Tamandua tetradactyla: one gene and its partner. The protein of the gene in region 2 purifies or fractionates together with the protein of the main gene of each other region. This does not show direct contact. Links are inferred from orthologs where the notes say so. Each region holds a gene or a part of one and is shown on either strand. Other genes may lie near its edges.

The links.
Region 1: the proteins of LRRK2 (region 2) and SLC25A6 purify together in Homo sapiens (co-immunoprecipitation; 3 studies listed by IntAct, with this or other methods). This does not show direct contact. The link is inferred for Tamandua tetradactyla from reciprocal best matches to the Homo sapiens genes LRRK2 and SLC25A6.

The regions. Positions count from the first base shown.
Region 1 is NC_135353.1:173,457,877-173,465,440, forward strand, and holds SLC25A6 (ADP/ATP translocase 3), read left to right. Parts: upstream 1-4,532; 5' UTR 4,533-4,616; coding exon 4,617-4,727; intron 4,728-5,317; coding exon 5,318-5,804; intron 5,805-6,230; coding exon 6,231-6,371; intron 6,372-6,899; coding exon 6,900-7,057; 3' UTR 7,058-7,509; downstream 7,510-7,564. UniProt on the Homo sapiens protein: ADP:ATP antiporter that mediates import of ADP into the mitochondrial matrix for ATP synthesis, and export of ATP out to fuel the cell.
Region 2 is NC_135333.1:99,678,746-99,686,783, reverse strand, and holds the start of LRRK2 (leucine-rich repeat serine/threonine-protein kinase 2), read right to left. Parts: upstream 3,038-8,038; 5' UTR 2,329-3,037; coding exon 2,175-2,328; intron 1,873-2,174; coding exon 1,787-1,872; intron 1-1,786. UniProt on the Homo sapiens protein: Serine/threonine-protein kinase which phosphorylates a broad range of proteins involved in multiple processes such as neuronal plasticity, innate immunity, autophagy, and vesicle trafficking.

The DNA.
Region 1 (7,564 bases), on a different chromosome or scaffold from region 2:
ATCAGGGTACGCACCCTGCCAGCCTCTTATCATTTTTGTCAATCGATCCACAGAAATCATGTTCTGTTGTGTTTCCATTTAAAGGCACCTTCTTTAACAAATACAGCTGATCTGGCACTGGGCTCACCGTTAATGGTTAGGCACTTCGTTGGTGCCCGAGAGAAGCTTATCTAACCGCATGCTTTCTCCGTGCGGCACGTCTCAGCCTCCTCGTGCTAGCGAAGGCCGGACGGTGCTTTCGCACATCACTCGGGCACCTGAAACCAGGAAACCCCCCGCCAAACACACAAACGTGGAAGGCATGGCACTAAACATGCCACGGGTATCGATGTGGGGGTTACAGGTAAATTTTCATGAGTCGAAGAAAATTATTCACCTGTAACGAGGACCGGCTGGGACTCGGATACTTCGAGTCGTGTTTTCTAATCTCACACACCTGCCTTGCACGGGGCCTCACAACGACCGCCAGTGGCACTGCCCCGTCTCTGCATGGGTTCTGCCCACAGAGCCTCATGGTGAGGTGAAGCTGTGTCTCCCCACATTCCACCGTGTCTGAACATAAGGACAGCAACTCACCCAGGAGAGCAGGCGAGATGGGTCTTCTGGAAAGCGCAGCTCCTTTCTGAGATGCCGTTTTCTCCCACGCCGGACCTTTGCCAGCTTCTCACGATCCAGCCAGCCACCTTTGGGTCCAAAGGTTCTGGCACGTTCCTGCCGTGCACGCGCCAGTCCTCTTTGGTTGCAGCCCTTCGCCAGGAGGTTTTGTTGCTCCCTGCAGACTTTCACCAGCAATCTCCGCGTGAGACCGAATCCCTGGAGCAGGGGAGTCTGCAAAGGGGTCCCGGGACGCGTGGCTTGCGGCATTCAGATTATTTCTGCTGCAAATCTCCTTAATGTAGACATCAGAGGGCTGTGGGAAGGAAGCCTGGGTTATGTTTCAGCCGTGTGGCTTTTCTTACCAGAGCAAGTGTGTACAAACTCTTTTGTCCACTCGTAAATATGTAGCAACCTGTGCACGGATGGTTGCTTGGAAGGATACATCAGAACTGGAGACCTTAGTCTGGGTAGTAGCTCTGTCAGCTCCTATCTGGTGGGCACTAATGGTTCAGTCGTTTTCCTGCTAAAAACCACCATGGGACATAGTTTATAGAAATGTATAGTTCTGGGGCGCACGGGTGGCTCAGGGGTGGAATGCTCACCTTCCATGCAGGAGACCCAGGTTCGGCTCCCCTACCATGCACCCCCAAAAAAGAAAAAAGTTATATATATACCTATATGAATTAATATGTGCCTATGAAATGTATTTTATATAAATATGACAGTTGATTGCCTATGTCTGTAATTTTGGTGGAATCCAAATAAAAAGCAAATCATGAAGGTGGAGGGAAGAGGAAGGAAATTCAACTTGGACTAGGAAGGGGGTGTGTGTGGCGGGTACAGGTGGGTCTGGGGGTGCGTTGGGGATTGGGTTGGGGGCCGGGGACCTCACGGAAAAGCCCCCAGAGAGTGTCCCTAAAGGCCATGCCCCACACCCCCATCTGGTCCTTGGGAAGCCGTGTGTCCCCGACTGTAGACCCCAGAAGGCTTCCTGGAGGCGGCGGCACCTCTGCTGAGCGGAGGGCACAGGCTCCCTGGAGGTCTGGAGAGAACCTCAGGTCCCGGGGTTGGTCCTGTCCGGAGAAGGTGGTTGGGGGCTGGTGCATGTGGGGCGTCCCCCAGGCTGGCCCTCAAAGAAAGGGAAGTTGGAAAGTAACCAGTGACACCATCTTGGATACTGGATAAAGGGCTCATGGGGGGGGGGCATTATATGACACACTCTCCCTCTTGAATTTTTTATGGTAAAACTGTAAAAAACCAAGAGAAAGCATGACAGACACAACGTATCTTTCTGTTTTTATTAGGAACGACATGCAAAAAACAATAGCGAGGGGACCCTGAGAAGAAATGTGTCCATGTACCTGTGCCCATGTGTCCTGAAGGGGTTTTAATTACTTAGAGCCCAAAAGGGACCTCGAGGTTGGAATCCTGCACCTGGCAGGCTGACCTGACCCCCCACCCTTGAGGTGGAAATCATCCCTTCTGTGTTCTTTCTGCATATTCCAGCTGCATACCAGGGTCATTCTATTTCAGCATGCCAGTGAATGAAAACTGCCCTCTGGGTTTCTCTTTTTGTGGCAAGGGGTGCAGACAAGCCCTAAGATACCACGTGTGCAAGGAGAGCTGCAGCCCTCCCCGGGGCCCTTGGAAGGTCGGTCCCCGTCAGGGGCCTGCACTGGGCATGAGGTGATACACCAAAGACGGGGCTCCCCCACGCTCAGCACATTTGGAGCAATCAGCGAACACCCAAAATGTTTCAGATATTTAAGCATTCCTCATATTAAATGAGTTATTTAATACAACCCAGTAGACAAAGACGGAGGAGTGAGCATTCCTAGGCAGTCAATTCTCCTTGTCCCCACTCTCAGGTCAGGGAGCTTCATTCTTCAAGGTGACCCACCAGCCCACAGGTATTTGTCTCCCCACACCCTTCTTTCCCAAGTTCCGGGTTTCTCGAGTTTTCCCACTGCCCTTCGAGAAGGGCAAATGGGGCCTGTGTACGTCTAACTCCACGGGTTAGCGCTTTCTATGGATAAGCGTGTCCTGAATCCCAGCCAGCCACGAGAGCCGCCACCTTCGATCCCCAGGAGGGGCCGGGTTCGTCTCCTCCGCCCCCACCTGCTTGAGGGGAACTTTCCACTCTCGCTCACTCCAGAGGCCACGGGGCTTGCTCTGGAGGTAATGCCAGAGGCCCCGCTCCTGGGACCCACCGGCTCACCAGGGAATGAGTAATTTCTTGGGCCCTTCCCAGCCCAGACAGGCTGATTTTGTGGAAGAATGGGCTGGAAGCTTCCTTTCGGCAATTCTCCCAGGCCAGACCCTTTGACCCTCCAAACTGTCCGAGCTGGTCTCCTCCAGCCCCAGGGCCTCTGGAACTTGGCCAGCCTCAAGCCCTTTTCCTTATCTGCCTTATAGGGAAGGGTCGAAGCCGGCTGGAATGGACAAGGACATTGCAAGCTGGTGGAATGCATGGGATGGAAGTCCCAGAAAGAGGGTCCCTTCCATGCGTCCATCCACTCAGTGGGTCAACCTGCCGGGCATACTGGCCATAAAAAAAAAAAAAAGATAAAAAAGAAGGGGGAAGGGAACAAAGGAGGGAGGGAAGGAAAGAGAGAGGAAGGATGCAAAGGAGGAGGAAAGAGAAAGAAAGGTGCAGGGAGGCAGGAAGGTGGGGCTTTGCTGCTGGGTGGCTGACGGGGCTGTTTGACCTCGGGGCTGGTCCCACGGAAGGGTTCAGCCTGTGGAAAGTCAGCTCATGGGACACACGTGGGTCTTGGGCAGTTTTCCATAAACCCAACAAAAAGGTCAGAGCATTCCCAGGCATGCCTGGGTGTGCCTGTGCAGGGGCAGGCCGGGTAGCGCCTGGCCTGCTCTTCCCCGAGCCCCCAAATCTCAGCACTGCCTTGCAGGGGACGAGGAAAAAGTGTCCACGCTGGAGGCCCTGGGACCTGCCCGTGAGGACCATGGGGGGGCTCCACAGCCTGCCTTGGGCCTCCAGGTACTTGGTGCAGGAAAACCCAAAGGTGCAGGCTCAGAAGGAGCCCCCACTCTAACGGGGGAACAGGGCAGAGGGTAGCCCACCCTCCCAGGGGTGCAGGCTCAAAGGGAGCCCCCATTCTCCCAGGGTCGCAGAGTCAGAGGGAGCCCCCACCATTCCAAGGTCGCAGAGTCAGAGAGAGCCCCCACCCTCCCAGGGGCGCAGAGACAGGGGGAGCCCCCACCCTCCCAGGGGTGCAGAGTCAGCGGGGGCCCGCACCCTCCCAGGGGCGCAGAGTCAGGGGACCCGCACTCTCTCAGGGTTGCAGAGTCAGGGGACCCCCACCCACCCGGGGGGTGCAGAGTCAGGGGACCCCCACCCTCCCGGGGGCGCAGGCGCAGAGGGAGCCCCACCCTCCCGGGGGCGCAGAGTCGGGTAGCTCCCACCCTCCCGGGGGCGCACAGTCAGGGGAACCCCCACCCTCCCGGGGGCGCAGGCGCAGAGGGAGCCCCACCCTCCAGGGGTTCCGCAGAGAGACAGGGCGGGGCGCGGGAGCGATAGGGAGAGGCCCCGAGCCCCGGCACCCTCCCCTGGGTGTGGGCGGACGGGCCCCGTCGTCGGCGGTCCCGAGGCCCTCAGGGGCCCCTTCTCTGCGTCCCGCGCGGCCTCCCCCGTGACCTTGAGAAGGTCACGGCCTCCCCGCGGCCCCCCGGCTCGCACGGCGCATGGGCAGGCGCGTCTCCCGGCATACCTCGGGGCGGCGCGTCCGGCCGGAAGGGGCGGGACGCGGCGCGCGGCGCAGCCAATGAGCGCGACGGAGCGGGGCGGTGACGCGGCTCCCGGCATCCCGCGGCGCGCGGGCCGGGGCGGGGAGTGGGCGTGGAATGGGCGTGGCACGACGCGGCGCGGCCAATGGGCGCTGGGGGCGGGCCCGCGGGGCGGGGCGAGGGCGCCTTAGCGGCTGCGCGCTGGGCGCCGCGTCCTTTCGGTGCCGGCGGCGCGACCCTCCCGGCTGCCCGCGCTCGCACCCGGCCCCGCAGCCATGACGGAACAGGCCATCTCCTTCGCCAAGGACTTCCTGGCGGGCGGCATCGCCGCCGCCATCTCCAAGACGGCCGTGGCCCCTATCGAGCGGGTCAAGCTGCTGCTGCAGGTGGGGCGGCCCGGGGCCGGGGGCGCCGCGCGCCGGGGAGGGCCGGGCGCAGGCGGGCGCCGGAAGTGGAGGCCGCGGCGCTTTGTCCGCGCGCGGGACACTTCCGTGGGCGGGGCGAGCCCGGGGCACGTGGGGGCCGCCGCCTGCCGGGGCCCGTGGGCCGGCCACGTGGGGGGCGCGCGGCGGGACCGGCCCCGGGCCCCCTGGATGGGGGGGGGATGGGCTTGACCTTGGTTGACCTTGCCATTGCGCGCGTCTCCAAGCCCGCTGGGCTCCCCCCTAAAATGCTGCGTGTCCCAGGCCCTTGGGGTCTTTTCCCTCCTGTTGCTTTAAGGGGTTGCGTGCAGCTGCGCCCCCCGGAATCCTGCCCCAGGGATGGTGCAAGTGTCCAGAAGCAGGCGAAACTGCTTCCAGGAGCCCGTCGTGGCCTCCGGCTCCAACGACGGGCTTCTCGAGATCGCGGCAAGGAGGACCGTTGCAGGACGCTGCCCCCGGGGGGTATGCATGCCCTGTAACGGGGCTCCCAGGACGCGCAGGCGGCGTCTGTGGTCCGGGAACGCCCTCGCGATCCTTGGCCCGCTCCCTTGCAGGTCCAGCACGCCAGCAAGCAGATCGCGGCGGACAAGCAGTACAAGGGCATCGTGGACTGCATCGTCCGCATCCCCAAGGAGCAGGGCATTCTCTCCTTCTGGAGGGGGAACCTGGCCAACGTCATCCGCTACTTCCCCACCCAAGCCCTCAACTTCGCCTTCAAGGATAAGTATAAGCAGGTGTTCCTGGGCGGCGTCGACAAGCACACCCAGTTCTGGAGGTATTTTGCCGGCAACCTGGCCTCCGGCGGGGCCGCCGGAGCCACCTCCCTTTGCTTCGTCTACCCGCTGGATTTCGCGAGAACCCGTTTGGCGGCCGATGTTGGGAAATCGGGGGCAGAAAGAGAATTCAAAGGCCTGGGAGACTGTCTGGTGAAAATCACCAAGTCCGACGGCGTCCGAGGCCTGTACCAGGGTTTCAACGTGTCCGTACAAGGCATCATCATCTACAGGGCCGCCTATTTCGGCGTGTACGATACAGCCAAAGGTAAGCTGCTGAGAAGGTCGGGAGCCTGGACCTTCCACGTGGAAGCGTTTGACATTTCCTCTAAGGAACGGGGTGTGTGGGGTAGCCATTCCCAAGACCACAGTTCCCTGTTCTAGAGAGGCGTCCCTAGGCTCTAAACCTGAGCATCTGGGACGGGAGCTGTTACTGCGACTGCCATGCTGTGATGTGCACTAGGCTGTTTGCTCCCGTCCTGCTTGGGTGACGGACCCTGCAGGAAAGCCGTCCTGAGTCCTCCAAGTTTTGTAAAAATTAGGTGGTTCTGGGAACTGATCCCTCTGGACCCACGGGCTTCAGTTCTTTGCAAAACAGTTTGCAAAGTTTTGGGCTTTGCAAAACTCTAGTGCTGCCTTTCCCAAGCACGTGACTGTGTGTGATGACGCCTCACGTTGGCTGGTCCCTCCGTAGGTATGCTCCCTGACCCCAAGAATACCCACATTGTGGTGAGCTGGATGATTGCCCAGACGGTGACAGCTGTCGCCGGCGTGGTCTCCTACCCCTTCGACACCGTGAGGCGGCGGATGATGATGCAGTCTGGACGCAAAGGAGGTACCTTGTCTTTCAACTCCGCTTCCATGCTGAGCAAACGCACGTTTCTTAAAGCATGTGTGGAAAGTAAAAAGAGGTGCGCTGCTCAATTTGCCTTCTTGCCTCCATCCTGATGAGGCCCAGAATGATCAAAGAACACACTTCCCAAAAAAAGTTTTGGGGAATATTTTATCAAAGTAGCCTAGACCTGAAGTAGGCGTTCTTGTTACGAACAGGCTTCTCTTCTTGGCAGGTGTTCCTTTCTTGAGGTGACGGTCTCTGAACCCCTCTTTCCCCTTCCTTTCACTGACTCCCGCTCCTGTCTGTCATCCCTGGACCTGGGGTTCTGAGTGGGAATGGCGAAAACGGGGCTAAGGCCTCTGCACTGGAACTCTCCAGAAGGACCCTGTTTTCCTCTGTGACCAAAACTTGAGTTTTCAAGTTGTCCAGACATCGCCATGTGGGGTTTTACTGCTTTAAAGTCCCTTTGGTTTGCATGGTGCTTGTTTCCCGAGGAACTTAACAGTTACACCCTAACTCTCCTTGCAGCTGACATCATGTACAGAGGCACTGTCGACTGCTGGAGGAAGATATTCAAGGATGAAGGTGGCAAAGCGTTCTTCAAGGGTGCTTGGTCGAACGTTCTCAGAGGCATGGGTGGAGCCTTCGTGCTGGTTCTGTACGACGAACTGAAAAAGGTCATCTAAGTGTGTCTGTCTTAACTAGAATCGGGAACCAAGAATCATGTAGAATCCTTCCTTAACCATTATGGACCATTGACCTTTGAGAAATTCCTATCGTTTTTACCCAGGCAGATCAACTCTGTAGAGAGCTAGGGAAAGCTCTAGAAAAGGGGATCATTGTGATTACATTGGACCACTGGCTCTGCTGATTCCATCTTTTGATTACTAGGGGGCAGGGAAGGGGAATCCTGACCATCGTGGGTCCCTGGGTGAGGCAGCTCAGCTTACACAGACCTAGAAACCCTCGAGTCCAAACGCTTGTAGGACCTTCCGTGGTGTTTAAGTATTTATTTAAAAAGAAATCATGTCTCCTATTTGTACTTAAGCACTATCTCCTTTTGCACAGCTGGACATTTGCAATTATGTTTTACGTTGGGCATTGTGCTGCAAAATAATAAATGAGCAGGACACTCGTAGAGGTGTGGTGTGGACTCGCTTTCTTTCCAAAACCAGGTTATTCTGCGGTGTCAC
Region 2 (8,038 bases):
ATTAAACCGTGGGCATGAAAACTCTGCAAATTCAACAGCAGTGGACTGTATAATGGAAAGAGATTTCTGAAGATGTGAGAAGACTCACATTTATGCCCTGGTTCTGTCACTAGCTCTGTGGTCCTAAATAAGTTACTTACTCTCACAGAATTACCATGAGGGGAAATTATCCAGTGAGATTTCTGAGGTGACAGTGAGACTCCAGTGAGAATCAAATGATGTAACATACATAATGTTTGCAGACATATGCATATATGGTGCTGTAATTAATAATTCTATGCCATTGCATTATCAACTCAGAAGGCAATGCCTTATTTCCCAACATACTTTGCCTCTGGTTCCCACTAGACAAGAACAGTGGGTAACATTCATAACTACTCCAGAGAAGTGAGGACCAGGTTTAAGTTTTCTGACGTGAATAAGAACCAGGTGACTGGTATGTTTTGAGTTCCCTTGAGTTCTAGCATGGCCTCCTCAGGACCCTGAAGACCAAATCTCACCCAGGGTCCAACTTTCCCAAGTTGACTGAGCAGGGTGAGGGGCGGGGAGAACTAAAACAAGCACAAATCCAGAAAACGGAGAGTGCTAGAAGTCACTTGTGAACACCAAAGCAGAGGCAAGTTAGAAGAGAAAATGTGGGTGAAAAGCAGCAACACAAATATTCCATGGGCAAAATTCAGACTTCAAGTACTGAAAAAGAACAAGCAGCTTTATCATGCCTCTATCTTTGCTTGGTTTTGTTTCATAGCAGCCTGAAAATTAATAGTCAGATGGAAAAAAATTTACAGTTTAAGGAAAATAAAAGTAACGATTCATCCTAGATATAAATGTTCTTATATAAAGGAAGTTAGATATATTGGGTCACCCTGATTTTATAGAGATGGATACAAAAATAGGCATAGAGGTAAAGATACAGATTTAGCAATAGAGATAATTCTTACATATGTCTAGCCTCTCAAATAAGCATTAAGAAACAGTGGTTTTCTAACTGCCCCTTGGAGTCCAAAGTTCTGTTTTCTTTCTCTTCAGGATTTAACATGTGAACAACAAAACTGATTTCAGTTCCCAAATCTCAAAATGCACTCAAAAAAGTTATCACGTTATGCGGTAATTCTGTTTTGACTGCAAATTATCCTTAATTGTCATCTTAGAGCTCCCTATTTAATATATCCAAGTTATTTAGCAAATCTCTAGGTTTCCTATTACAAGAATTCTAAAAGTTTCAGGTTAACTCATTTTACATGAAAACTGCTACAGTACAAAGTATAAATTTAAACACATAAGGGAATCAAAGCACTGTCTTTAGATATGATAAGGTAAACTACTAACAAAACCACAAATCTAACAGTCTTCAAATAAAAAAAAAATCTCTTGACACCTAAGAGAGTTCCTCAGTTGCATTTTATTGCTGTCAATTATACCCCTTTTCCAAACTATTAACAGGGATGTCATATCTAGGACAAGACTGTGCTCTGGGAAGATTCTTAGACTAATCTGATGTGAACACTAATGAGCTCATCTAGGCGATAACAAAACTAGATCTCAACCCATTATTACTCCTGTCAATTCCCGTACATATTCTGTCGGTTGGTATTATAAAGTTACTTCTTAAAGTAGACCCACAGTTAGCATTTGATAATAATTGGGCAATGCTGCCATCTTCAAATCACGGTCAGCGGTTGACCAAGGCAAATCTCAGAAATAACAAGAACTCCGAGTATGTAATGACAGAAAATCATCTCTTTCCAAGCAGAAGGGGAACTGGACACAAAGAAAACTCTTTTACCTGCTGCACACTCGCGACTCTCATGTATGAGTCCAAGACAATCAAGAGAGGCACATGGACATTTTTGCCTTGAAATAATTTGGAGGCTGGAAAAGAAGCGGGTGGGGGGAAAGAAGCAAAATTATGATTCACGAAGCCCTTTTAAAATCTGAAGGGGGTGGGGGACAGCAAAAGAGGCCCCAAGACTTTCCTGAAATTTCCAATTCCCTTCTCTGTCTCAGGGAAAGGAACAGGGAATTGGCCACTTCTTAAAAGTCGTGGCCTGAGTAGAGATCCAAAGAGCAGGGAATAAAGTTTGCAAATGTGTGCGTGTGTGTATGTGTGCGTGTGTGACGGGGGTGGGGGTGGGGGTGGGGGGGTGAGGAACAGGTCCCTTGCAAATGATTACCGTGGTCGGCGAAGGTGAACACCAGCATATCCTCCAGGATTTGGACGAGCGTCTCTATCTGTTTTCCTTCCTGGACATTTTTCAGCCTAACTATCAACTTCTTCAGAGTTTCCTCGTCCTCCTCCTCGGACCCCTGACAGCTGCCACTGGCCATGGTGGACCCCGCTCCACACCCGCCGCCCCTCCGTGCACGAATGCCGGGCTGCTCAGGGAGCGGTTCCGGGCGCAGGCCACTGCTCCCCGGGGCGAGCACAACTCACCGCCCGCAGCCGGCACTACCCGCCGGCCCCATCTGCCCACGCCCGCTTGTTGATGAGGAAAGCGACGTCTCTCCGCCTTGCACTCCCCTTCCTCTCCCCGAGCCCTCCTCCCCTGCTTCCTCCAAACCCCCGCTCCAAAAAAAAAAAAAAACGAGCTGTGGCCTGCCGGAGGCTCGGCTGAGGCGACGCGACGCGCCGCGCAAAATCGCTGCCTGGTGGTCCAGGCTGGGCTCGACCCGCGTGAGCCGGGCCGGGCCGGGCCGACGGGAACCGTGACCCGCGCGTGCTCCGCTACGGTACCCGCGACGGGCGCCGTTTCGTCTGTCCGGATTCCTCAGCCGCGGCGCCACTACCGCAGTCGCGCAGGAACAAACTGACTCAGCGAACTTCGCCGAGTACCCGCGGCCGGGTGCGGAGGAGGCGCGCAGGCTGCTGCTGGAGCCCGCCACCCTCCCGGACCCGCCAACCTGGACTCCTTTAGCCCCAAGAAGGTTTGGAAACCAGGAAAAGCAAAAGTGAAAGCCGCCTAACTCCAAATCTAAGAATAGAAATCAGGGCGTAGGAGAAAAAGGACGCCGCCCAGTTGGCCCTTTAAGGGAAGCATTCTCTTTAGGGTTCCCCCTAGAGGGAGATGAGTCATTCCCACCCCCACCCCCCCAGATGGAGCGACGTTTTAGCAATCAAAATTTGCCCGGCTAAATTGTTTTATGTGACTCTTAAATTCTACCTGTTTGTAGGGGAGGAAATAAAATGTGTCTTCCTTGTTAGTTATCTGAAGTTCTGGTGGCCAAAACGGCTCTGAAATTAATTAACTTTTGAGTTTGCCTAGGTCGGATCCTGATAATTGGGGCACACCAACAAGTAATCAACCAGTGCTTTTATGAGTAAAGAGAAAGACAAGGTAAATGAAATGACCTGTAGAAAAGATGAAAGAACAAAAACTAAATTTTGCAGCTCTGCTGTTCAGACTTAAGAATATGGGCATTAACAACTCTAAAGTTAAAAAAAAAATGTACCAAAGTCATATGTTGTTCACAAAAGGAAATCTACTTAAAAAGCTCTGTAGACGGCTGGACACAGGTGTTCTATCCTCAGCGTCATTCATAAAGGAAAAGACTGGACTGGAAGTTAGTACTTCACAATTTTAGATTCCTTTCATGTCCCCTAACTTGTTTATGCTGATGACAACTGTGAAATGGATAAGACAGCTATTACTTATCATTCTTTATTAATGAGAAAATTGATATTCGGAGATGTTCGGTGAGGAGATTTGCCCCATTCACACAATTTGCAAGTTGAGATTTGGGATTTAAACTCATGTCAATCTCTTAACACCAAATTCAGGGTTCTTCACAATCTGTTACTTTAATCAAAATGAGATAGCATTCCGTAATCATTATGTGAGTAAAGTAGCAAATTGGCAGTATTAATGATTATGATAGTATGAGTATGTTTCATAAATGTTTTATTATTGTTATAAAGAGATTTCTATCTTTTACAGATTCATGATAAAATATTTACAACTGAAATGATATAATGGTTAATATTTACTTCGAAGTAATATAATAGTGGGAGAAGAGATAAAGTGCATGGAGGTATAAATGAAACAATATTAACTTTGAATTAAAAATTGTTGCAGATGGGTTCTTGGGAGTTCTCATACTATTCTCTCTACCTTTTATAATAAAGACAATTTCCATAATGAAAACTTAAAAAAAAATCTCTGCTTTGTAATCTTTATCGTATCTGCAATATATCTCTTATTAACTGGCTTCTGAACTTCTTTGACTTCTGACTACATAATGGATATCAAACTTTCCTATCAATTCTCCCTTCATACCTTCCTTACACCTTCTTCTGCATCAGTTTTCCCTTCTCAGTCTACTGGATTATTATCATACAAGAAATGAAAGTACAGCTCCTTTCTAAGAGAAGGTAAATTTAAATAGAAAAGGAACTTCCTCTTTTCCTCAATTGATATTCATCCATCCGTTATCTATTTATTTTCTACTCTATATTAACCAGAATAAGAGTAGGTGATTTTCTAGCAATGCCTAGAGTGTATGCTAATAGTGAAATGTACAAGGTACAATTTTAAAAATGTTTTTGCATGAGGAAGAACAAAGGAATGTCATTATTGCAGGGTATTGAAAATAAATGGTAATTAATATTTTAAAATGTCACCTTCTGTGTGAGACTAAAGCAAAAAATGTTTGTTACAAAATTTATATTTTGACTAGTGCATCTCCTAATATAACTTATGTAGATAGTTTGATTGAATGCCATAAGTACTTGGAATCTCAGGTAGGACATGAGATTTTGCTGGTTTGTCCAGAGTGATGCCCCGATGAATCCCAGAATGATTCAATCAGTGAGTGGAAAAGTATCTGCAAAGCCCCCTTCGGGGAGTGGTGAGAATGGGGAGAAATTCAACTTCCCCAAGTTGAATTCTTGATATTCTCACAAGCAGTGTGGACAACCAAAACTATAGGCAGAGCCCCCAGTCTTGGGGTTTGTTCATATGAAACTTAACCCCACAAAGGATAGGTCAAGTCTACTTAAAATTTAGGCCTAAGAGTCACCCCCAAGAGAGCCTCTTTTTTTGCTCAGATGTGGCCCCTCTCTCCAGCCAACGCAATGAGCAGTCTCACCACCCTACCCCTCTCTACGTGGGACATAACTCCCAGGGGTGTGGACCTTCCTGGCAACTTGGGACAGAGATCTTGGAATGAACGGAGACTCAGCATCAAGGGATTGAGAAAAACCCTAGAATGAGCTGAGACTTAGCATCAAGGGATTGAGAAAACCTTCTCAACCAAAAGGGGGAAGAGGGAAATGAGACAAAGTGTCAATGGCTGAGAGATTCCAAACAGAGTCGAGAGGTTATCCTGGAGGTTACTCTTATGCATCAAGTAGATGTCATCTTGTTATTCAAGATATTATGGAGAGGCTGGAGGGAACTGCCTGAAAATGTAGAGCTGTGTTCCAGTAGCCATGTTTCTTGAGGATGATTGAATAATGATACAGCTGTCACAATGTGACTGTGTTATTGTGAAAACCTTGTGTCTGATGCTCCTTTTATCTACCTTGTCAACAAAGGAGTAGAACATATGGAATAAAAATAAATAATAGGGGGAACAAATGCTAAAATAAATTTAGTTTAAATGCTAGTGATCAATGAAAGCGAGGGGTAAGGGGTATGGTATGTATAACTTTTTTTTCTCTGTTATCATTTTATTTCTTTTTCTGTTATCTTTTTATTTCTTTTTCTAAATCGATGCAACTGTTCTAAGAAATGATGAATATGCAACTAAGTGATGATATTGTGAATTACTGATTATGTATGTTTTATGAGGATTAACCGAATAGGCAAACAGCCAGCCGTTTCAGGACAAGCCTGTATTGAAAATGCAGCTATTCAGAAATGATTTATGGAAAGTCTTATTGTCTGACAGTTAGGACTCCTGTGTGTTGCATGTGAAGCCAACAAATTTTTTGCAAGATCTGTGTGAACAGAACCACTGCCAGTGTGGGCTAAAGGGAGATAGAAAAGGAAGAGATTGAAGGAAAAATTACTTCAAAGGCAGAACCATGGGAACTGATATCTGGTACAAAGAAATCTTGGACCAGGATAGTGGACCCACCCATGCATGTGGAATGGGTGAGTCCCAGAGTTTGCAGAGAATGGGCCTCCCACCCATTGTACAAGAAGAGTATTACCTCATGGCTCTCAGATGCCTGGGAAGTTGAGGGGAGCTTGGCTGCCCTATTGTTCAGGAAGAATGTTGCCTCCTCAGCCCTCTGAGAAGGTGGAGCACATTCTCCAGGGACTGGGGAGACCCTGGCCACAACCCCACTGTTCAGAGAAGGGTGAGCCTGTGCCTAGAGATGACAGAGAGTCTAGCTGCCACTCAGATGCTTGAAGAGGGTGGAATGGAAAATATATCTGTCTCCCCAATGTTTGGAGATATTGGATCCCTCAGCCTAGTGTTTGGAGAAAGCAGGGCTGCTGTGCACTGTGCAAGACCATGGAAAGGGTAGGACTGTTGCTCTCTCAAGCCTCAAGACAAAATGTCATTCTATAGCTGACTCTCAGATCTTAAAATCTAATGAAGTATGCCCTTCAGTTTTTCAGAACTGTTTCAGAACTTTGATGCCTATTTTCCTTCCAATCTCTCTCCATGGAAATGGGAACATCTATCCTATGACTGTTTCTCCTCTGTATATTGGAAGCAGATAACTTGTTCTAAGTTCCACAGCCAGAGGAGAATTTTGCCTTAGGATATGCCACACCTGTAACTGATTTTGATGAGACTTTATACTTAATATTGTTACTGAAATAATTTAAGGTTTTTGTGATATTGTAATGGGATGAATGTATTTTGCATATGGAAAGAACATGTCCTTTTAGGGTCCAGAGGCAGAGTATGCTGGTTTGAAACTGTCATGTACCCTGAAAAGGCCATGTTCTTTTAATCCATTCCTGTGGCAGCAGAACTATTGTAAATGAAATCTTTTGATATGTTATTTCAATTGAGGCATGACCCACCCAATTTTTTTTTTTGCTTCAAAGTATGTTTCATTGAAACTGTGCTTACAATATGCAAACTGTTTCAAAAGTCCAAGCCAGAAATATTTATTATCTTTGCATCCAATAATTATAACAATCTACATAGGAATCAATAACTTCAGTTGTTAGGTAACTTGTTAGAATAAATATTAATGTCAGATGTCAATCCACTTTTAAAAATCCATTTATTTGAAATAAATGAGCTTTGCTCACAGAGCTTCTCTGCTCCATTTTTCCTAAAGGCCACCATGACTGCTGCCTTTACATGTTGTTCCTACTTTTTTTCCATGATAGTTATTTTAGAGGGATGACAATTTTTCTCCCCCCACCCCCAGTTAAAATCCCCACCTCATATCATACAAACTTAGATGACCAAATTTCAGTGTAAAGTGATTATATGAAGATTTCAATTCCTAAGTAGTAGTGACAGCTCAGTCTGAAAAAGTAGATGTGAGAGTAAAATGTGTCCAAAGGTGAAGAAAGGTACTTTTGGTTTGACCCACTCAACTTAAGGTGGGTCTTAATCCTTTACTAGAGTCCTTTATGAGAGGATAAGAGACATTTGGAGAGAGAGAAGCACCCAGAGAAGCAAGAAGAACCCACAGGACCTGTAAGAAAAAGCCACTGGGACCAGAAGCTGGAAGCAACATAAGCTGGGAACAAAGAACCAGCAGATACCAGCATGTTCTTTCTCATAAGACAGAGGAATCCCAGATGCCAACAGCCTTTCTTTAGAGAAGGTGTCATCCTATTGCTGCCTTAATTTGGACATTTCACAGACTTAGAACTGTAAATTTGTAAATTAATAAATCCTCATTGTAAAAACCAACCCATTTCTGGTATATTGCATTCTGGCAGCTTTAGCAAACTGAAAAATATGGGGCCATTAATTTTCTGTTGAGAGCTTCCTTCTATAAACTCCTACCATAGTAGGAAAAAATGTCCTCTTAGCTTTCAAAAATTCTTAATTGATCGAATAAAATCCCAAAACTTAACAACTCTTCAAGAAATTACCAAAACTGAAAATAAAAAAT